Linked DNA regions of Pelodiscus sinensis. Each later gene encodes a partner of the first gene's protein in a complex. Links are inferred from orthologs where the notes say so. Each region holds a gene or a part of one and is shown on either strand. Other genes may lie near its edges.

Region 1 (7,595 bases):
TTAATGCTGAACTTACAGCCTCTGTGGAACAGACATTGGACAGGCAAGAAAAACATCCCCAAATCTGCAAACCAGCATGTCTCTGAAGGACCTCATCCTAGCACTAAGGTGGAGTTAACCCTTCCCTCCATGCTCAGATTACAGGCAACCCCCAAATTCGATGCGATCAGTTCCTGGGGAAGCGTCACAAGTCAGAGGCGTCGTAACTCGAACCCACATTTACAATAGGCGCCGTGCACGGTCGTAAATGCGGGCTAAGGACGTAAGTCAGGGGGTTTCAGCCCCTTCCACACTTACAAAAATGGTTGTAAGTGCGGGGGGTTGCAACTCGGGCAATCGTAACGTGGGGGTTTCCTGTAATCGTAGGCCTCTCTAATGAGACTGCCCACTAGAAGATGGGTCAGTGCCAACCGTGGCAGTGGTGGTTTTGAAATAGATACTGGTCCACTAGTATCTAGACTGAGACCCACCAACTAGTTTCACATAATTATAACAAACATCTGATGGTAAAACTTGCCCTCCCTAATAATTTTGCCACACTTACGCAAATAGACAAGTGAGTTTGCACAGAACTTCACTGAAGTTGATTAGGTGCTGCATGGATCCACCCGTGTAGAGCATTATTTTGGAATCAGGGCCTAAGGCTGGATTTGAACCAATTGAAATTTGAGAGGCTCTTTAGCTCATTGCCAGTCCCGTGATATCTCTAATTCTAGTCTTTGTCCTCTCCCATTCTTGAAGTTAAACATACTACGTAAGGCTCTTTAGACGATAACAGAATATCACTTCCCTTTTTAATTACAAGAAAGGAACTAAGGGCACTGCGGATTTTTATGCTAAGTTCAAGCATGGAGTGAACCTAAAATATTGAAATTCAGAACTTCAAGTTGTGCCAGACTGAGCAACAAATTATCTTGATAGCAGCTATTCAAAACAGCTTCCTACTTTAAGAGCCAAAGTCTTTTGTATCTCACAGCATGAGGCAGAAGGAAAGCTTTATCCCCAAGCTCAACACAATGTGAAAATTAAAGCAATAAGTCTTTCAGATTCCCCTACACTTGGGTCGAAAATTAGACTTGGCTGAGAGAAATTATCAGCATGAATTTTCTGCAGACAGCTTTTCCCATCCTAAGAGTGGACTAGCATGTTTATGAACACACATTCTTAGCTAATCTTCTCAAAATTAGTAGATATTGCTTTTCAGAATGACATTAGCAATGTGACTATTTTGAAGTGGTTTTATTTTTAAGACATCTAATGAAATAACACCTGCAATAAAAGTCTCAGCCGGTTCTCAAAACATTAGTATTTACAAAAAAGCGTATTACATTTTTAATCTGAGATTGCCAGTAGAAGGCAGCAGCACTAGAGACTGAAGTCGACTTTACCTCCCTGTCAATGCGCATCAACTCTAGCATAAAGGAGTGAACAAAAATAATGAGCCCAGAAGCCAAGATCACGAGAATGGCTTTAAAAAAACCCATCACTCTGGCACTGCCCCTTTTGATGGCCCTCGGGTCTCATTTCCGTTTCTCTCTCTCTAACCTACATATTCTTTAAACGCTCTACCGAGAATGCCAACAGGAGGTCAGTGTGAGACAGCTGTGACAGTAGTGGGTTTTGTGATGTGGACATTTGCTCTCTATGAACCAGAGTACACAACACAAGCTCATTTTACATTGGTCACTTAGTTTTACTGCCTGTATCTAGGGTTGATTCTGAACTGAAGATTTAAAAATGAAAGGCTCTCTATTATCTCTCAGTATCTTGCACCATTCATGTCTCCCACGCTTCTTTTGTGACCCTAAGCAACACCACACATACCTCTCCTTGGAAGACATCATAGAGTTCAGGTAAAGTCTCCATTGCCTCAGGTCTCACAGACTTCATTTGGGAAGTTTTCTAAGAGTATGCATTCCACAATTCTTTCCCAACCTTTATAGCTTACTTTGTTTCCATGTATTAGATGTCCCATTTATTGCTGTGGAGCAACCCTATTCGTAGCTGAAATAAAGAAAGACACCATTTATTGAAAGAAATATCTTCATTAGTGATAAAAGAAATAAACTCTGGGAAAACTTTTCAGGGATGGTTTTTATCTGCACTGCTTTCACTCTCACTAATTTCTAAATATCTGATACCATAGGGTAAGTCTACACAGATGTGTTATTTCAGAATAAGTGATGTTATTTTGAAATAACCAAATACGCTTCTACACAGCAAGACATTATTTCGAAATAATAGCGAGCTGGAAGACTTCTCACTCTGACTCCTGTAACCCTCATTTCACAAGGGCTGTGTCTACACTGGCACCCTTTTCCGTAAAGGGGATGCTAATGAGACTCTTTGGAATTGCAAATGCCGCAGGGGATTTAAATATCCCCCATGGCATTTGCATGAACATGGTTGCCGCTTTTTTCCGGCTCGGGGTTTTGCCGGAGAAAAGCGCCAGTCTAGACGGGATCTTGCGGAAAATAAACCCTTTTCCGCAAGATCCTGTCTAGACTGGCGCTTTTCTCCAGCAAAACCCCGAGCCGGAAAAAAGCGGCAGCCATGTTCATGCAAATGCCGTGGGGGATATTTAAATCCCCTGTGGCATTTGCAACTCCGAAGTGTCTCATTAGCATCCCTTTTACGGAAAAGGGTGCCAGTGTAGACACAGCCAAGGAGTAAAGGAAGTCAAAAGAAGAGAGTTCTTCCTTCGTCTACCTGCTGTGTAGACAGCGCCAAGAGACGAATTAAGCTATTTTGACTAGGGATGTAAGCGACTGACTACCTGATAAGCAAAAGCTTATCGGATAGTCAACACATTAGTCAACTAGTCACTCCTCCTCCCTCTCCCTCTCCCCTCGCTGCCGCTATCACAAAGAGGCAACAAAGGGTTGAAGAGGAAGGGCGCTGGGGGGAGCCAGCTTAAAAGTCAGTTCCCCCCAGCTCCAGCTCCATGGGATGGGGCGGGGCACAGCAGCAGTAGTGCTTTCTTTTTTAAATGTTCAAGAGTTCCAGTAGGGGCTCTTGTGGATTTCAGAGACTGAAATGCTGCATAGAGCCTGGGGTGGACTCCGAGTCCCCCACTGACCTTAGGCTCCATGAGATGCTTCCTCTTTACAATGCCCAAGAGCCCCCACTGGTGCTCTTGTACATTTCAAAGGTGGAATGTGCACTAGTCCTTATCAATTAAATCCCATCAACTATTCAATCAGTTAATCAATATTTAACATCCCTAATTTCAACTTCAGCTACACAATTGACATAGCTGAAGCTGCGTGGCTTAATTCGACTTTTGTGTAGATGTGTCCATAGTGTCTTGTGCTCACACTATACGTTATGGCAGTGTAATCAAGTGGATAGAGAACAAGTTGAGGAAACAGACAATCCGAGTTCTTCAATGATACAGTTCCCAATAACTTTCAGTACAATTATGAGCAAGTTACTAAACTTTATGCCTCAGTTTCTCCCTGGATAAAAGGGTGCTATGATATATTTCAAAGAGCTTTCTGCAGTAGGGTATGTCAGAAGAGTACCTCAAAAACACTAAGTATTCAAGTACCTAGGCAGATACAGCAAAATATGAACACGTGACTATAAACTGGCTCTGGATAATAACTAGCCAATTTTGCCCTATTCTCAGAATTCAGCCTCACAGACACTTCATTCCTATTTCACAGGGGTAGCCGATGGCCTCAGAGGGGTAGCTGCGTTAGCCTGTAACTTTAAACACAGTCAGTAACCCTAGTCTGTATTTGGGAAAATGAAGAGTCCTGTGGCCCCTTGTAGACTCCACGCAGCTGACCAAGTGGTTTTTACTCAGGAGAGGTTACGCCAAAATAAATCGGTGACTCTAACAGGAGTGTGGAACTTTGGGGGGGGGGTGGCGGCCACGGACCCACAGGAAAGAGTCAGTCGGGAGCCGCACAGAGATGAGCGGCCCCAAACCCAACAACCCCTCACTGCTGGGCTCCCCACATCCCCCTCGCGCACCAGAGCCGGGGGGGGGGGGGGCAGGTTGTGTACCCGTGGGAGGGGCCGGGGGGGGCCGCTCTAGGCTCCCCGCCCCGCTCTGCGAGGGGCCACCGGGCTCCCGGCCGGCTCTCCCGCCGCTGCCCCGGGCGGTTGGAACCCGCTCGCGCCGGGACACAGGCCTGACGCCAGCGGGCGCGCAAAGGGCCCGGCCTGCGCCTGGACGCGACGCTCAGCGGCTCCCGCGGGCAGAAGCAGCGAGCCCGGACCGCGAGCGGGGCCTGCCGAGCGCGGGAAGGGGAAGGGGCTGAGGCCGCGCCGCCCCCTCACCCGCTCAAGGGCGCCGCGGCCGCCGTCATCCCACCTGCACCCCGGTCCCTTCGAGCTGAGGAAGCTTGCGCCCGCCAATCACGGCACGGCATACTCGCGCGGGGTACTTACGGAGCCAATGGGCGCGCCCGATGCTAGAACTCTCCGGCGAATCCCCTAGCCAGCATGGCCAGCGCTGCCCAATCAGCACGCTTGGCGTTCGCAGCCAATCAGAGCGCGGCATCGCGGCCCAATGGGGGCCGGGCGCGGGCGGAGCGAGGCCTAGCGCTGCAGGACGCCCGAGGCCGAGCGGCTGCCGCGGGCCGGGATGATCGAGCCGCAGAAGCGCAAGGGGCCGGTCCCGGAGCTGGCGCTGGTGGCGGCCGCGGCCAAGCGGCCCCGGCATGAGCTGCTGGGGCCCGGCCCGGGCGGGGCGCCGCCCCCGGGGGCCCTGCTGCAGGCGGTGAGCGCGGGGGGCCCGGGATGGGCCGGGCCGCGTCCCCCGCGGGCGGTGACCCCGAGGCTCCCCGGAGGGGCGGGGGCCGGGCCGGGGGGGGCCGCTCAACTCCTGTCGCAACGTGGCTCCGCCTCTTTGGGTCGTTCGTAGCCTCCGCGCTGAACTGACACCGGCCTTGGTGTGACTCGAGACCAGGCCTCTTGCTGCGCGGGGCCTCCGCCTCCCCATCGGAGGTGGGGCCCGTGGCGGGCGGGGTGTGAGACGCGCTTTGCCATTATTATTATTTTGTGTGTGTCAGAAAAGTGGAAATATGACCCGAGTTAAAACTAGTGAAGGAGTTATGGGAGGGGGGGTGTTTTCTGGCCTGCTCCCCCACACCGTCCACCTTCTGGTTCAGAGGTTTCATTAGCTCATTATTTATTATTCTGTTTCATTTCTGTCTGCATTCCCTCTGTGTTTTAGGGCCCTCCACGCTGTTCTTCCCTCCAGGCACCTATAATGCTGCTCTCGGGGCATGAAGGAGAAGTTTACTGTTGCAAGTTTCACCCTAATGGAGCAACTTTAGCATCTGCAGGATTTGACAGACTGATCTGTGAGTTTGTAATGATCAGTAGTTTGTGCTATGAGGGTGGTTTGTTTAAAAAATAATAATAATAATAATACACTGCTGGTGTAAACTGCTTTCCATTCATTCAAGTGCAATGGAGTGACTGAGCTGCTGAGAGCAATGGGGTGAAATGTTGACAGCAGGCCAGTAATGAGCTGTGCGCTTTTGAGCATATTTCAAAAGCGTTGGTAACCTCTTTAATGCCCTAAATCAGCAGTTCCCAACTGCTAGTCCGTGGACCCCTGCTTACCCTGCCAGGCCATGCCCCCAGCTCTGCTTTCTCACAACACTGTACTGTGGGATACATACTCACAGTGCTTTGCTCACACTGTCAATGACAGTGCCCTCAGCGTGAACATGCTCTGTCAGCAGAGGGAGCAAGTGTGAACACCCTCTAGGCAATTTTTGTTTTTATCAATTTTTGGGTGTTGATATACATTTTGTTAACAAAACTTGGTAATGTAGACATACCCTAACTCTTGTAAGAAGCCACATAGTATTGTTACAGTTAGAGCTCTGCAAATCCATGGATATCTGCTTTATATCCCCTGGTATCCACATCCACAGATGTGGATGCAGATATCTGTGACTCATTTTTATGAACGCAGATATACATTTTGGATTCCTGTTTGTATGAATATGGATTTAACTGCAACACTGTAGTTATGGGTTGCACAGCCATACAGGACTATAAAGGGATGAGAAATCCTTCTCCATAAGGACAGCTTGATGTGGGACTCCTTTCATATCCCATCTAATCTGTCAGCTCTCTACATTTAAGAAGGATACAAAATGAAGGGTATAGAAGAGTTAAAACAGATGTTTCTATTTATGCTTATTCATAATACAGGAGCAAAGATGACATTCAGGTTTGTTGAAAGGAAATACTTTTCTACACAATGGATCATTAACCTCTGGGACTCACTGCAACAACATGCTGTTCAACCTAAGAATGTACTAGGGCAGGGATTGTCAACCTTTCAGATGTGACATGCCAAGATTTAATTTATTCACTTCTATTTATGGATCTGTGTGCCACTGATACTTTTTGAAGTCAATAATAGTCCTATTTACATTTTAGCGGCTTCATTAATAAATAAATTAAGATGCAGATTTTTCTGTTTAGTGTGATCCTTGGTCTTGCTTTCCCTTGCTGAGTTCTCCTATTTCAGGCCCTATAGCAATCAGTTAGCCAGTAACTCTCACATTTAGGATTAAAATCCTACTGCTCATATGACTCGGGTTGTGGAACACATTATTAACCAACCGCCTCTGTCTGTTGATGGGGCGCTCAGAGAAGCGAAGTTCCCTGCACTTTGTCAGGGATGGTGCAGCAGCTGGCCTGGCAAGTGGCAGCTGAGGAACAAGTTAATAAGGGTGGCGGCCATGGGGAGACATGGGCCTCCCTACCCTTCCCCCAGATGAGGAGAACTTTCACATCTTCTGTTCCACATATTTAAAAACCTATTTAAAATGAGAGTTTGGCGATTATGCTGAATATTGTAAGTGCTTCATTTTAGTGAGCCCAGGAAGTGTAGCTGTGATGATGTGGGCGTAGAACATAGTTTTATGTGTATTTGGTTTCTTTCCAGTGCTATGGAATGTGTATGGGGACTGTGATAATTATGCCACTCTGAAGGGACACAGTGGAGCAGTTATGGAGTTGCACTATAATACTGATGGCAGGTAAATATCAGATGAAACTGACTTGAGCTGTCATTAGCCTACCTTGATGATGTTTCCAAATGAACTCTGTGAAATGTTTGGGGAGAGAGTTGGTATGAAAAGCTGCTAGATGAAGCCAGTAACCTTTGGATAAAACTTGTAAAAGGTACCTGCAACTGGCAAGTGGGGAACTAGCTGCTGGTGAATGTAAGTTGCTTTACAGCTCCTCTTCATTGCTTCAGTGCTCACCTGGTGGCTCTGAAGAGAAAAAGCAATGGTGCTCTTTGAATGGCTCCCCCTCCCAGAAATAGCTCCACACGCTACGTCTGTTGTAGAGTGCAGGAGCAAAGAGTAGAACCTAAGTGGCAAGTTCCAAGGCTCATGGATGGGAAGCAGATCTAAAGCCAGGCGTCCCGTCCCATCCCGCCCCTAGCAAGTGAATCTGTGGGAAAGTGGATGGGAGAGACAACGAAGGAACAATTCAGGATAAGAAAAGGAAAACTAGGAAGGCGATGTTGGCAGCTTTCCAGATTATCCAATGCTATCTGAGGTTTTTACAAAAGAGATGGCTCCCCCTCCCCCATCATCCTGAGCAGG
Region 2 (7,578 bases), on another chromosome or scaffold:
GGCCTTCTAAGTTGACAGCCTAGCAGGGTAGTTTCATTCAACATGTGATCTCATAATCTTAACAAAGATCTCTGGTTCAGTTTGTGTCAACATGTCCAGCTGTGGTAGTATTAGTAATGTAGACTCACATCATGTTCTTTCAGGTAAGATAGCATTCCTAGTAATACAAAGTTTTATTTCTAGACTTAACAGCTGAGTTTCATTTGTCCATCATACAGGCAGTCACTGTTAGCACAAATCCTTTAATTAGGGTAGAGAATCATACCTTATTGCTTCTATCAAAATTCAGGTCTTCTGTCTCATCTACAATTGATGCAATATTCTACTAACCTATTTGTAAGGTGAGAGGATGAATTATTGGTGGACACTTCTGAGGCTGCAAATGTGTTTTGCACTAAACTACTGCAATCTCCAGATGACTTTTTATTACAGTTAGATAGCAATTTAAGTGTGATTCAGGTCAGATTGTTGCTTTTTATGATGTAAATGAAATCAAATAATGTAAAACTTCTCTACTGTGTTTATTGACCCTCATGCTAATGGTCCAAAGTATTCCATATTTAAAGAACAGTCACAATGTAGAAGATACACTTCATATTATTTTCTTAGTCACCTGATTATCTACTTTTTGGTTATGTGGGGATTACCTGTGGAAGAAAGAATATAAATCTTTGGGATGACAGTCTTCTGCTAAATTCCATGTTTGCACTTAGGGGAAGTGGCAGCAGCTTGCTTTTTACGCATGATAAAACTAAAAAAATTAAGCTCTGAATATTTTTGCTGATTATCAATAAATGTGTGTCTTAAATTTAGTGCTTCCAAATCTACATAAAATCTGAATCAAGGACCAATTTTAAAATATTTTGTCACTTTTATGATTTGTTAAACTAGACATGAAATTTGCTTATGGCACTGTGCATTGTTTAATATTTCCTGTAAGTACAGTTGTATATTCAGATTGCAATTATGAAGATTAAATATTAGGAAAAAAAGTAGAATACTAGGGTTAGCACGGTTGTCATTAATGGCCTAGCACACAAAACACTGCATCATCAGTGTTTCATTGTGTTATGATTGAAAATATGTACAGTTTTTTGCAATAACAATTCATTTTAATCTTGAATGTTTCTGAAGGCCTCTTTGGTTTTGTTAAACATTACCTGTTCATAAGTGCTAGTAATAAAAATGCAAAGTACATGTTGCTTTTAGATGCTACAGTGGAAATATCAGTTGACAGTTTAACTGAGAAATTCTTTCTAACTTAATCTCAGACATCAACTCTGTAATGGGTAAGAAAGTATAAGAACTCTATAGTTAAATATTTAAATAATGGTTTGTATGCCTCATTGGCAGGTGATGTTTTGAAATGTAGTCCAGCTGTCTTACTATGTGTATCTAAATCTTTCCTTGCATCTCCTGTTAAGAGTTTGCTGCAACAAAGACAAAACCTGGACAGCTAATATAACCACATAGCAAGAACTAGATTAATGTAGGTTTTGAGACTTGGAAGGGCATCTGTATTCCAATGCTTTGCAAGGAGATTGTGTACTGTATCTAAGTTTGCATATGATGTACTCATAAATTACAATAAAACTTTAATCTTTTCTAGATCCTGACAGTTGTTCCTGTATTTTAGTTGATGGGTTTAAAAATGCAAACTTTAAAAATTATTTCTTGGAAATGGCTGATCATCAGGTACATTCTGAGCAGTTAATCTGTAAATACAAAATTAAAGCCTTCTATTTTTATACTTAAAACTTTTAATGGATTAGTTTAAAAATAAGATTTTAATTAGCAAATATGTTCCATTTTCCTCTGCCAACTATGAACTTTACCTTTCTGAAAAACAAAGCATTTGGGGAGACACAGGAGAAGTTTAAAAATAACACGTGAAGTTAAAACAAAAAACAGGACTATGTAGCACTTTAAAGACTAACAAGATGGTTTATTAGGTGATGAGCTTTCGTGGGTCAGACCCACTTCCTCAGATCAAATAGTAGAAGAAAATTGTCACAACCATATATACCAAAGATGGTGACAATTTTCTTCCACTATTTGATCTGAGAAAGTGGGTCTGGCCCATGAAAGCTAATCACCTAATAAACCATCTTGTTAGTCTTTAAAGTGCTACATAGTCCTGTTTTTTGTTTCAGCTACACCAGACTAACATGGCTACATTTCTATCACCTGAAGTTAGACTCCCTACTTGACTCAATTCTTTGTCCACCCCTTTACAAGGCCAACTTAGACCACCAGCACTGTTTTTTATTGGCTCAGTGTTAGATACATGAGGGCTGCATCTACACTGGCAAGTTTTTCCGCCAAAGCAATTGCTTTGGTGGAAAAACTTGCCAGCTGTCTACACTGGCCGTTTTGAATTTGCGCAAGAACACTGACGATCTAATGTAAGATTGTCAGTGTCCTTCCGCAAATACAATGACTCTCCCATTTGGGAAAAAAACCTCTTGCGCAAATGCAAGATGGCTCTGCACATTGCTGTATTGTCTTTCTCCCTCGGGGGAGAGAGAGGATCAGCAATGCACCAAAGCATTTCTCCAGAAGCTTTCCCCCACTGCTGTGATAGCAGCAGGTGGTGCCTAGGAGTGGGCGGGGCATAGTCATGTGTGCCCTTGGGAATGGGGTGCCAGGTAACTGCCTCATTACCATAACCCTCCCAGCTTCTTCCGTGGTCTGCAAAAATTCCTTAATCCATCATACTCTCTTTCCCAAGGTTGCCAGATTAGAGGTACAAGTGTATTACAATGGGTCCTTCTATATTTGGTTTAATTCTTTCTTTATATCCTCAGCATTAGAGGAATTGGTAGACTCCCAGGGAATCAATGTTTTATCAGAAACCTGCTTAAAAAAAGATTCCTGGAGAAGCACTCTTATGAATATACTCTATCAGGGTATTTCTAAACTCTGAATCAAAACATTTGGTAGACCTAGGACTCTACCCTTAAATTTAAGAGACCAAGTGTGCATTTATATCAAGACACAAACTAACAGCCTGGCTACGTCTACACTGGCCCCTTTTCCGAAAGGGGCATGCTAATTTTAAACTTCAGAATAGGGAAATCCGCGGGGGATTTAAATAAAGATGTCCGCCGCTTTTTTCCGGCTTGTAGATAAGCCGGAAAAAAGCGTCTAGACTGGCCCGATCCTCCGGAATAAAGCCCTATTCCGGAGGATCTCTTATTCCGACTTTGAAGTAGGAATAAGAGATCCTCCGGAATAGGGCTTTATTTCGGAGGATCGGGCCAGTCTAGACGCTTTTTTCCGGCTTATCTACAAGCCGGAAAAAAGCGGTGGACATCTTTATTTAAATCCCACAGGGGATATTTAAATCCCCTGTGGATTTCCCTATTCTGAAGTTTAAAATTAGCATACCCCTTTTGGAAAAGGGGCCAGTGTAGACGTAGCCCCTGGGTTTATTGGTTAATTCAAAGGAACACACACCTTCCTTCCTGCCTCTATTGGGGGAGAGGTAGGCAGGAGCCAGTACCCTTGAGTGGGCTTTTAACATGGCTCCTTGTGCATGCTGGTTCCCATGCAGCTCCCTTCTCCTCCTCCTTCCCCCCCCCCAGTAGTGTGGGGAGCAGGCAAAAGCTGATGCTAGGAGCTGGCTTAAATGGGCAGCACTTGGGAGGGGAGGGGAAGAGAATGCTGGAACATCCTATTGGCAGAAAGCTTGGGATTTTTAAACCTAGTTCTACTGTGGACCAGCTCTGCCTGCCACTCCACACTGTTTCCTGTGATATGGAGGCAGAAGCATGGGATGGCAGGGGGCTTCCCCAGGAGTGAAGCGGGGAGCTGGTAGTGCAATGGCTGTCAGTCTCTGCCCCAGGAGAAACATTTTTAATAACCAGGTAACCATTAAAAATTGTTGTGACTATATGATTACTAAAATATCTAACATCCCTATTAAAAATATCATAATCCATAGGTAGTACTACTACACATTAATGTGAATGTGGTCCTGAAATGTATTCAGCCCTCCAGTGCAGGATAGCAGCTTATCTGATGTCATAAAGGGTAATTTTGGTTCAAAGTATTTCCTTAAAAAATGCCATTGAGTCTCTACTGCCAATCCAAAGCAGCACTGATATTGGTGGAGAGGGGGTACTAATCATTCAATAAAGGCATACAACTAAAGCAGAAATGTCTGTTGTTCACAATCCCTTGCATTTGTTGAACACTGCGTGTCGCGTACTCCTCTGTACCATAACGGAAACTTAATCAATGTCCTTTGCTAGTTGATTGATGCGTAGGAGGGGTCCACATTTTGGCTGCGAGAGTCTCCTCTTTAAGCCCAGCCTTGTCCTAAACGTCTTGACTTTTGAGGCAAAACTGGGCTTTTGCGCAGTTTGCTTTCGCGTGGGGGAAGGGAAGCAAGCAGGACCCCTGCCGTCCCTGAGCCAGCGCGCCGGTGCGAGACAGAGCCGCTCGCGGGGGGAGTGCGCTACAGCCGAGGGGCCGCGCTGAAGCCGCTGCCCTTTGGCCAGGCCCTCGCTGCCGGCGGAGCAGGGCTGGCCCGGCCCCCACAAGGCGGGAGGCGAGGGCCCCCGCCCCTCGCCTTAACGCACATCCGGCCGCGAGGAGCGGCGCTTCCGGCTATTGAGTCGCGCGACGCTCAGTCGCGCCAGCGCTGTTTCATTCACCGAGCGCCGGAGCGGCCTGGTCCGAGGCCTCCGCCCCGAGCTCAATTTTTTTTTTCTTTCTCCCCGTGCCCGGGTTGCCGCTCTGTGGTCCCGGCCGGCCTGACGCCCCCGCTCCGCCGCCATGAAGCTCGTGAGGTGAGATGGGCCCGGATGGAGGCGGATTCGGGGGCGGGCAGCGGCGGGAAAGGAGCGCGAGCGCTGGGCCGCAACCTGGGCCTTCCGCCGTCTCGTGCCGCGCCGGCTGCTCGCGCGCACCTCACTCTTCTCCCCCCCCCCCCGCCTCGCGCCGGGCGTCCCGTTCCACAGCGGGTGGAAGCAGGGCGCAGCTGTGCACCCCCCGTGCAGGTTCCGGGAGCCCCTCCCCCTAGAGCGCGCAGTTGTCTCGAGGTGGCCGTTGCCACCCGCCCCCTCCCCACGGGCCGCTCCTGTCCCCAACGGCCCCGTAAGGAACGTGACTGTTAACATCACGCACGTGACTTCTTCCACCCCCCCCACTACGGCCTGTGGCCCCTGGGCGGCGAGTCTCTGCCAGAGACTCCTGCCCGGCCGGTGCCTTCGCCCTTTGCTCGCTGGTTGCGACTCCTAAGTCTTTCCTCGCCCCGCGCGCACACGTGGATGAGCCTGGTTATGGATAAAAGAAAGTGTCATTGCCCCATGGGGGGGAGGGTCATTTCCCGCCTGTTTAAATGCGACTCTCATTGTTACACAAGTGTCTACTAGCCAGAAGAGTTACTCCCTGATAACTGCGAGACGGGGGAGTAAGGGGAAGTGTGGCTCCCCTCTTGGGGAGTGTTGCTAAAACTCAGCAAGACTGGGACTCCCTTGTCCCTAGCTGGGCCACAAAGAACGCTTATTCCCAACACCATATGTCCCTGCTAAACAATAACTTGAACAATTCTTAAAAGTTACATTTTTCAGTGTCGGTATTGTTCATGTCGTGCACTTCATTCAGTTTGTGCAAATGAAAATAGATTAGTTTGTTGTATTGTCACTTTCACTTTAGGATTGGTAAACAGTGCAATGATTTTTGGGCTACAATGACTGTTTAATACAAAAGGGTTATTTAGGGTTATTGAACATACTTTTACCATTGACAGTTTTGTAAAACCGTTTTTTTTTTTTAACAAAACAGCTCCTGGGATAAGTAAGCCTATTTCTGTTTAAATATTGTTGTTCCAACTATAAAAGCAGTAGGACTAGAACAGATTGCTTAGGGAGATTTGTTGAAGCTCCTTCACAGGAGGCTTTTGAAAAGGCTGGATAGCCATCTGCTGTTTTTGTTGGTTTAGATGTAACAAATCCTGCCTCTTGGCAAGGGGTTAGAAGAGATGACCCTCAGTGTCCCTTATAGCCCTGTGATTTAGGGCCATACCAAATTCACAGTCCATTTTGGATACTTTCAGCATCATAGGATTTTAAAAATCTTAAATTTCATTATTTCAGCTATTGAAATCTGAAGTTTCATTATATTCTAAATGTAGGGATTCAACTCAAAAAGGAGTTATGGGGGACTCAAGGTACTACAATCCTTACTTTTATGCCGTTGCTAATGGCAGCACTATCTTCAATGCTGGGCATCTGAAGGATAGCAGCTGCTGGCTGGGAGCTGAGTTCTGAAGACAGAATCACTGCCAGCAGCAGCTCAGAGGTAAGAATGATTGGGTGTGCTGCCGCCTGTTGAGCTGGACGCTCCGTCATCAGTTACCATGCTCCAGCTGCCCAGCTCTGAAGGCAATGATGCAGAATTAAGGATGGAAGGTATGGTATTGCTACCCTTACTTCTGTGCTTCTGCTGCCTGGGTGCTGCCTTCAGAGCTGAGTGCCTGGCAAGGAGCTGCTGCTTTTCAGCTGCCCAACTCTGAAGGCAGCACAGAACTAAGGATGGTAATACCACAACCACCTCTCCCCCTCCCCCCAAAATAACTCCCCTGCACCTCCGTTTTGGGTCAAGGCCCTCAGTTTAAAAAATGCTGATCTCCCCAATTAAATCTGTATAGTAGAGGGTAAAAGTGCACAAAAGCCTAGATTTCACTATCTGATATTCCTTTTTTATGGTTGTGAATACTTTACTTGGTTATTTGCCCCATAGCAATGACTGTAGTTCCTGTATTTATTTTGTTAAAAAGCAAAGCTTGTCTTAAATGACTGTCAGGTAACTAGTAAATGTTTTTTGCTGAATTAATGCATTATAATGCTTAGATGCCAAATGCGTATCAGAATTGTACTTAAACTCTTTGTGGATTCTTTGGAACAGTTTCCAGTCAGGATGCTTAGGAATGGTGTGTACAGTCATCACTGGCTTTTTTTGGTTGGTTGTAGCAGTTCCTCAGAGTTCATACAGAATTACCTTTTTTGGAATATTATGAGGTTTGAGATCACTTCATATTGTTTGTAATGCATATGCCAGGGCCTAGGTGAGTTAAGGAAAGTGGTAGAACCTCATTTTCCTAAGTTCTGATGATATGAGACAAGACTTTTACAAAACATTTTCAGAAAAGCCATATAGTTGATTATTACTGTATTGTCATATGGGAATGGAAGTTCTGCTTTTCAACTTCACTTTTATTTTTCAGGTTTCTAATGAAATTGAGTCATGAAACCGTGACCATTGAACTGAAGAATGGAACACAAGTGCATGGAACAATTACAGGTATGGAATTCAAGATGATGGAGACTAAAAACCAAAATAATTAAGGAATTGATAGACAAAGGAAAATCCATTCTCTTCTAAAGAGACTCCACTGTGATAGCTAAATGAGTCGTCTTAGGAGATGGATTCTGTGAAAAATGTGGTGGCAAATAAAATCACCTCACAAGCAGTAGCATAAGAAACATCATTTTAGGGTTTTTCCTTATTCAGGGGTGTGGTTTTTTTTCCCTTTGCGGTGAATGTTTAGACTGTACGTGTATCTTTAAT
Region 3 (7,813 bases), on another chromosome or scaffold:
ATCTCTCTCTCTCACACACACACAGAGAAGAAAATATTGACTCCATAGCCCTTTTGTTTGCTTTCCCCAGCCCCACTGATGGGTTCTACAGCACCCATTGAGGAAGCCAACAGCTTGGGGAAGCTGCTAGCAGCAGACACAACTCTCCTAGGAACAGACATTATTACTGGTTGCTTTTGACAGGGTCTTCCAGACCCTCACTCAAACAATATTCATCCCCCACTTCAGGCCCATGAGTGCTACAAACCAGAGCATCTGAGTGCATTGTCTGGCTCTGCAGCTAGTGGGGATGTAATTATAGAACATGGCCCCGCTTGATTATTACAGGAGGATGATAAAAGGAAGAATCAGGGAGCGACAGATGGTCCTGGGCAGCCCATTGTTTGATCAGAAACCTGCTCAATCTCTAAATAGCTCAAGCCTGTAACATCAGTTAGCGGGAACATGCTGCACCTTCTGAACAGTGACAAGGACAGACTCGTATACATTTCGTTACATCAAAACAAGGCCAGGAGGAAAGGATTTAATCTCGTTAAAAGAAGACCGAGGTCAATATTCCGTGGGGAACCCAACATGTTTTTCTAAAGAACCGAGTGTAAATCTATCTGAGAGCAAAATGGAAAAGGATGGTGGGGTTGCTACAGAGACAAGATAGATGAAGCGGTATCTTGTTTTGGTCCAACCTCTGTATTGGTTCAACCTCTTGAAAGAGACAAGCTTTCAAGCTACACAGAACTGTTCTTCAGGTCTGGGAAAGGTACTCAGATATGTCACCGCTAAATACAAGGTGGAACAGATTGTTTGGCATAAGTAGTTAACACATAGGCTATGTCTACACTCGCGGTTTCTTGCGCAAGTAATATGCAAATGAGGCTAAGCGTGGAATATCGCCGAGCCTCATTTGCATACCTAATGAGCCACCGTTTTTTTCAGAAGAGGCTCTTGCACAAGAAGGAGCGTCTACACTGCCCCGTCTTGCGCAAGAAAAACCCTCTTGCGCAATGCTGTTACACCTATTACTTTTCAGGAAGAATGGCGTTGCGCAAGAGGGTTTTTCTTGCGCAAGAAGGGGCAGTGTAGACGCTCCTTCTTGTGCAAGAGCCTCTTCTGAAAAAAACGGTGGCTCATTAGGTATGCAAATGAGGCTCGGCGATATTCCACGCTTAGCCTCATTTGCATATTACTTGTGCAAGAAGCCGCTAGTATAGACATAGCCATATTGTAAGAGACCATGCAAAATTCCTCTCAGTCACATATGCCCCGCAACAGGGGTTATTCCAGAGGATGCCTGCGTAGCTCACGTTAGAATCTAGTCCCCTTTTAGTCCTTAGCAGACATGATCCACATGACATGAGAAAAGCTCAGAAGGGAACTGCTCAGTTATTGCAGTGGTGGTGGTGGGGCTGTATAAGTACCAGAGAGGGAGGGATGAGGTGCTTTGGCTGAACAGAGTGAGAGCTCATGTTTAGAATAGCTGGGGATGCTGTAGACCAGAATGAGATGCATCAGCAGGGGCCTTGGGATTAGAATAGTGATGGAGACTGTAGATAAGGACTATGTGCATGGGCAGAGCTGGGGTGGCACTGGAACGGGAATGCCAGAGGTCATTGTAGATCAGGATTGAGGTGCATTGGCAGAACTTGAGGTGCATTGATACCAAGCTGGGAGCGGTTGCAAGTGCTCTGGAGAATAGGGTCATAATTCAAAATGATTTGGACAAACTGGAGAAATGGTCTGAGGCAAATAGGTTGAAGTTTAATAAGGACAAATGCGAAGTACTGCACTTAGGAAGGAACAATGAGTTTCACACATACAGGATGGGAAGTGACGGTCTAGGAAGGAGTGCTGCAGAAAAGGATCTAGGGTTAATAGTGCACCACAAGCTAAAAATGAGCCAACAGTGTAACACTGTTACAGAAAAAAAGCAAACATGATTCTGGGATTCACTAACAGGAGTGCTGTGAGCAAGACACGAGAAGTTATTCTTTCGCTCTACTCTGCCCTGATTCTGCCTCAGTTGGAGTGTTGTGTCCAATTCTGGGCACCACATTTCAAGAAAGATGTGGAGAAATTGGAGAAGGTCCAGAGAAGAGCAACAAAAATGATGAAAGGGCTAGAAAACATGAGCTATGAGGGAAGACTGAAAGAATCGGGCTTGTTTAGTTTAGAAAAGAGAAGACTGAGAGGATAAGATGCAATGGGCTTAAAATGCAATAAGGGAGGTTTAGGTTGGACATTAGGAAAAACTTCCTGTCAGGATGGTTAAACACTGGAATAGTGTAGGGAGGCTGTGGAGTCTCCATCACTAGAGATATTTAACAGCAGATTGGATAGTAATCTGTCAGGGATGATCTAGACCAGGGGTGGACAAAAGCCTCTTAGCAGGTGGGATCTGGCCCTCCTAGGGCTTTGATCGGGCTTGCAAGGCAGTTCCAGGCCCCACCCCCGAGTGCAGGGGTCGGCAACCTACGGCATGTGGGCAACTTATGGCAAGCAAATCAATTTTCAGCAGCACGTGGGAGGAAGCTCAGCCCTGCCCTTCCTCCCCCATGAAGCTGCTGGAGAGCGCTCCCTCCTCCCTGCAGTGTGGATGAAAATGAAGCTTTTTCGGGAAAACGGCCGTTTTTCTGAAAAAAACTCTGTAGTGTAGACATACCCTCAGGTGCAGCCACATCAGTGAGCGCTGGAGATTTTTGGAGGAGTTTTTTTGCTTCTCACTTGTGTGGTCCCCAAGTGATTTTTCTGTGGGTCAGTGCTGGGTGGCTACCAGGCAACAGGTTAGCAGCAGGGCCAGGAGCTGCCAGCCATGTTATGTGAATTCTAAGCCTCCACCCCAGACAACTCTGGGAGGAGGCTAGCCTCCAGCACCCTCCATTGGCCAGAAGTCAGGAGGTCGGGACCCGAGGCCAAGCAAAGCTCTCCACAGGGTAGTCGTCAATCCCACTCCTTCCGCCCAATGCCCCACCCCTTCTGGGTCAGCCCGCGGCCACTTCTGAAATTTGTGAAGTGGCCCCCTTCAAAAATTATTGCCCACTCCTAATCTAGACGGTGCTTGGTCCTGCCATGAGGGAAGGGGAGTGGACTTGATGACCTCTCGAGGTCCCTTCCAGTTCTAGTACTCTGACTCTATAACTGTATTTGTCTGACCATACAGTCTGAAGAGAGTGTTCCCAGTCTTTCCTGTACTGGGCACTAACACACTTGAAAACTGGGCATCACCTCTAGAAATGAGACACTGCCTGTAGGTGGCTTCTGCTACCCACAGGGAGGCTGGTACGATTTGGAGATGCATCCACTCTGAGCGGAACATGCCAAATCATTTCACACCAGCCACTAAAGAAGAGAAAGACTTTTGGTTATTTCTTAGGTGACCAGAGAGCAAATGTGAAAAATTGGGATGCAGGGGAGTAATGGAAGGGGGGGTAATATGGTCCTTTTTAAGACAAAGCCCCTAATTTCAGAATGGTCTTGATAATATCATGATGTCTGGTCACCCTAGTTACTCCTGACCCTGACACAAAGGGAACTATATAACTCATCCCACTCCCAATCCTTTGAGCCATCCAGGATCACCAATAAATCCCCCACCAAATACACTGAATCCTCTTTACTGGAGGATAATGGTGATACCCCATGCTGCCAACCACACTCTTTGCTTGGCTAGTTCAAAGTTGGGAGCCAAATGATTTGCATTGGGGACGCTTTCTGCTCACAGGAAGCAAAGCAAGGTTGCAAGAAGATGAGACACAGGTGCGAGGAGGAATTAACCTTTCAGGTGCCATAAGCTTGGGGATACACATGCTTCCTAAGCATTTTGTTGGCAGGCTGGAAAAGAGCAGTGTTCTTGGTATTCAGAAACAGCTGCTACTGACTCAGAGTAGCTTATAATAATCTTTTCTATTAGCTCCTTTCAGACATAGGGATTGCAAAGAGCTTTACCATGGGAACGCAGGCACCTCTAGGCTGGGGTGTGGGAGGCGTTTAACAGGGCACAGTAGTCTGGGAAGAGACCTGCTGTACTGTAACAGCCAAAGGTGGAGTTTGGCCAGGAAAGAAAGGCTAATGCCCAATACTACCTAGGAGTGCGTGGGGCTCCGCAGTGTTCGGCTTTCCCCCGTTCAGAAGGGAGCACCCAGCAGGCCAGGGTGCTTGCACCAGCCTCTCACCTGCAGGGCAGGGAAGCATTTCCCAGCCTGGGCCCTCGGGCTAGTCTCATTAATGCCCCCAGGAGCCACAGCACAACTGCCTGAAGCAGAGCAGCCCAGGGGGGGCGGCATCAGACCCTCTCCTAGCTGGGAGGGGTAGCTGCTCTCTCTGGGCAGCCCCTGAAAAGGGAAAGCTCCCTTCTGAGGCCCCTGTTTCCCTCTCCCCTCCTGGGGCGCTCCTGCCCCTCCCCTTCCTGGGGCCCCCTGCTTCCCCCTCCCCTCCTGGGGCGCTCCTCCCCCTCCCCCTCCCCTCCTGGGGCGCTCCTGCCCCTCCCCTTCCTGGGGCCCCCTGCTTCCCCCTCCCCTCCTGGGGCGCTCCTACCCCTCCCCCTCCCCTCCTGGGGCACTCCTACCCCTCCCCCTCCCATCCTGGGGCACTCCTACCCCTCCCCCTCCCATCCTGGGGCACTCCTACCCCTCCCCCTCCCATCCTGGGGCCCCTGCTTCCCCCACCCATCCTGGGGCGCTCCTACCCCTCCCCCTCCCCTCCTGGGGCGCTCCTGCCCCCCCCCCCCCATCCTGGGGCCCCTGCTTCCTCCTCCCCTCCTGGGCGCTCCTGCCCCTCCCCCCGTGCTGGGGGCCCTGCTCCGCTCCTCTCCCAGACACAGCAAGCGGAGCCAGAGGCTGCGGTTCCCCCTCCCCGCCGCCAGGGGGCCCAGCGCGGCGCTGCTGCCGGCTGCTTCCTTTCCGCTCCAGCCCGGCCCGTCTCGTTGGCGCCGGTGGGTCCTTCTCTCCGCTCCTTGCCGGCCCCTCTCGTTGGCGGCGGAAGATGGCGGAAGAAAGCCCCGTCTGCAGCTTCCTGTTCAAGAAGCGGGGCCCGGCCGCCGGTAGGGGGCGACGCAAGCGGCCGGGCAGCGACCAGGAGCAGGGTGAGGCTGGGGGGTCGCTCCCCTGCCGCGGACCGTGCCATTATCGCGGGGAGGGGTGGTGGTGAACGATGCGTTTCGGGCTATGCCATTTGTACTCGGGGGGGGGGAGGGTTTCTAGGTTTGTCTCATTATCACTGGAGACGGTTTCTGGATTGATCCATTATCAGTAGGAAAGGGGGGAGATTCCGGGGTAGGCTGCCCCACTGTCACTGGGGAAAGGGGGGTTCTGGGCTGCCCTAAAGTGTGTGTGTGGGGGGGGGAGGGGTGTTGGGCTGTCCCACTGTTACTGGGGAAAGGGGGGTTCTGGGCTGCTCTAAAGTGTGTGTGGGGGGGAGGGGTGTTGGGCTGTCCCACTGTTACTGGAGAAAGGGGGGTTCTGGGCTGCTCTAAAGAGTGGGGGGAGGGGTGTTGGGCTGTCCCACTGTTACTGGGGAAAGGGGGGTTCTGGGCTGCTCTAAAGTGTGTGTGGGGGGGAGGGGTGTTGGGCTGTCCCACTGTTACTGGAGAAAGGGGGGTTCTGGGCTGCTCTAAAGTGTGGGGGGGGAGGGGTGTTGGGCTGTCCCACTGTTACTGGAGAAAGGGGGGTTCTGGGCTGCTCTAAAGTGTGGGGGGGGAGGGGTGTTGGGCTGTCCCACTGTTACTGGAGAAAGGGGGGTTCTGGGCTGCCCTGAAGTGTAGGGGAAGTTGGGCTGTCCCACTATTACTGGGGAAGGGGTTGAGGGTTTCTGGGTTGCCCTAATGGCATGGGAGAGGCAAGGCGTCTGGACAGTGCCACTGTCCTGGTGGGTGGGGGAGCCCTGACATCCTGGAGAGGCCTGGGGGCGCCCTCCCCACTCACCCCTCCCCCTTGGTTGCTCCTGCCCCATGGGACTCTTGAACTGATGGTGCCTTTTTCCCTTGGAGGGGCCGGGGGCCCCCCAAGGGCTGGTGCCCAGCCTCTTGCGCAGGCTGAGTGGCCCCCAAAAGCCCCGTGCTCAGGCCCTGGCATGTGGGGGTGCCCCTTGGGGTGAAGGGACATGGGGCCAGGGCCTGACCCAGCCCAGCTGCTCCTGCCCCTCAGGGCCCTTGAACTGATGGCGTCTTGTCCTCCGCAGGGAGTAGCAGCGATGAGGGGAGCACGGTGGTCAGGAAGGAGAGGCGGCGGGACACCCACAACCCCATGATCCAGAAGGTGACCAAGCCCATCACAGAGATGCCCAGCTCCATGCCTTGTCCAGTTACTGCATCCCACCCTGTGTGGGACCAAACTCCTGGTCAAGTGGGGGTGGGATGGGTCCCACATTCGGCCCCTGGAAATCCCTGGGGGGGGGTGCCAACACCATGAAACTGCTCAGCAGCTGGTTTGCCAGCACCCTCCCTCAGCTGTTGCAGTGTCATACACCCAGCCTATGGATCCAGCCAGTTATACATTTTATTTGGGCTCATGACAGATTCAGACTATACAGAATTCAGGTTCTCACCTAACAGCCCCCCTGCCTCCAAAAACAAAAGAAAACCCATCCCTCTGTTTTGAGCCCATTTGATTATGGGAAAATTCTTTCAAATGTGCAGACAGTAATTGATGCAGAAGTGACTTCTGGGGTATGCAATGCCCCACGGTCAGAGAGGTGAACTTTCCTCTCAAGGGGGTAATTTATGTTTCAAAGCCTAATGAGGATATACAAAGGACTAGATTTTACTAATCTGTGAGCATAAATGCACAGGTTGGGTAAATGCATATGAAAATGGCCAGCATAGGGCAGTAAGTGGAAGATCTAAAAGATCTAAAAGTATCCTGTGTGACTTTTACCCAGTGTGATGCAGTATGCCACAATAACTTCAGTTAACTTCAGTAACTGAAAATCTAGGCTACTGCTTTGCTGGTATAACTATACTGGTGTATTATGTCAGCAAAGGGGTTCTAGTGTGGATGCAGTTTCTATTGATTTTACCAGTATATCTTATTTCATCCCCCACCCCAAGAAAGAGTAATATCAGCATCAGTGAAGTTTTGCCTGTATAGTAGTATCTGCTGGCACTGCTAGGAGGGGTCAGGGATCACACCCTGGCATGACAGAAGCATACTGGCAGAATTCTAAAGCTATGGCTATCCCCTGAAGCAGTTAAGCTGTGTAAGGATTCTATGGCTTGTTTGATTTTTCTCAGACCTCCTATTGTTATCCAGTGGAGATGCACGGCAGATTGAGGGAAACGAAAAGTTCTGGCATTGTAGGCTCACAGATCCAAATTAAACCTATAACTTGGCTCTCTTAATGCAAGAATTTTACTCTGTGATGCCCCTTGATCTAGGAGAATCAAAGGAGTTTTGCTCTGCCCTCCTTCCAGCCCAGCGGTGGCTGCATTAAACCAATGCTTTGTGGATATGGGCCCTGATTTTGACAATTTTTCACTCCACTGATTTGCTTTCCTGGGCTGCAACACTGTCTCTGGCCAACCAGGAGAACATGTCTGGGTGTTGTGTTGTGTGGATCTTTCTCAGTTCTTCAGATATTTGCCTTTCCATCTTTCAGACCAGGAAAAGTGATAAAGAGAAGACCTCGTATGGGGCAAGCAGCAGTGATGATGAGGGGGAATCGCAAGGAATTGGTGTCGCTTACAAATCAACGAGATCAGCGGTAAGCACAATGCGCCACATGGCTTTAAAAGGGATCAGAAGGGACACTAAGATCACTTACTCTGGTCTCTGTTATGCAGACTATGTCATTGGTTGGTTTTATGATTGGGCGCCATGGTCAGGTT

Evidence for each region.
Region 2: SNRNP40 (region 1) and SNRPD1 share a complex: the UniProt entries of both Homo sapiens proteins name them as parts of the U4/U6-U5 tri-snRNP complex. The link is inferred for Pelodiscus sinensis from reciprocal best matches to the Homo sapiens genes SNRNP40 and SNRPD1.
Region 3: SNRNP40 (region 1) and E3 ubiquitin-protein ligase RNF113A-like share a complex: the UniProt entries of both Homo sapiens proteins name them as parts of the pre-catalytic and catalytic spliceosome complex. The link is inferred for Pelodiscus sinensis from reciprocal best matches to the Homo sapiens genes SNRNP40 and RNF113A.

The regions. Positions count from the first base shown.
Region 1 is NC_134735.1:17,396,205-17,403,799, reverse strand, and holds the start of SNRNP40 (U5 small nuclear ribonucleoprotein 40 kDa protein), read left to right. Parts: upstream 1-4,594; 5' UTR 4,595-4,597; coding exon 4,598-4,732; intron 4,733-5,188; coding exon 5,189-5,318; intron 5,319-6,925; coding exon 6,926-7,019; intron 7,020-7,595. Other genes in the region: ZCCHC17 (zinc finger CCHC domain-containing protein 17), read right to left, coding at 1,825-1,890. UniProt on the Homo sapiens protein: Required for pre-mRNA splicing as component of the activated spliceosome. Component of the U5 small nuclear ribonucleoprotein (snRNP) complex and the U4/U6-U5 tri-snRNP complex, building blocks of the spliceosome.
Region 2 is NC_134712.1:178,735,879-178,743,456, forward strand, and holds the start of SNRPD1 (small nuclear ribonucleoprotein Sm D1), read left to right. Parts: upstream 1-4,576; 5' UTR 4,577-4,782; coding exon 4,783-4,796; intron 4,797-7,234; coding exon 7,235-7,311; intron 7,312-7,578. UniProt on the Homo sapiens protein: Plays a role in pre-mRNA splicing as a core component of the spliceosomal U1, U2, U4 and U5 small nuclear ribonucleoproteins (snRNPs), the building blocks of the spliceosome.
Region 3 is NC_134739.1:6,622,839-6,630,651, forward strand, and holds the start of E3 ubiquitin-protein ligase RNF113A-like, read left to right. Parts: upstream 1-4,811; 5' UTR 4,812-4,974; coding exon 4,975-5,074; intron 5,075-6,168; coding exon 6,169-6,245; intron 6,246-7,584; coding exon 7,585-7,689; intron 7,690-7,813. UniProt on the Homo sapiens protein: Required for pre-mRNA splicing as component of the spliceosome. As a component of the minor spliceosome, involved in the splicing of U12-type introns in pre-mRNAs. E3 ubiquitin-protein ligase that catalyzes the transfer of ubiquitin onto target proteins.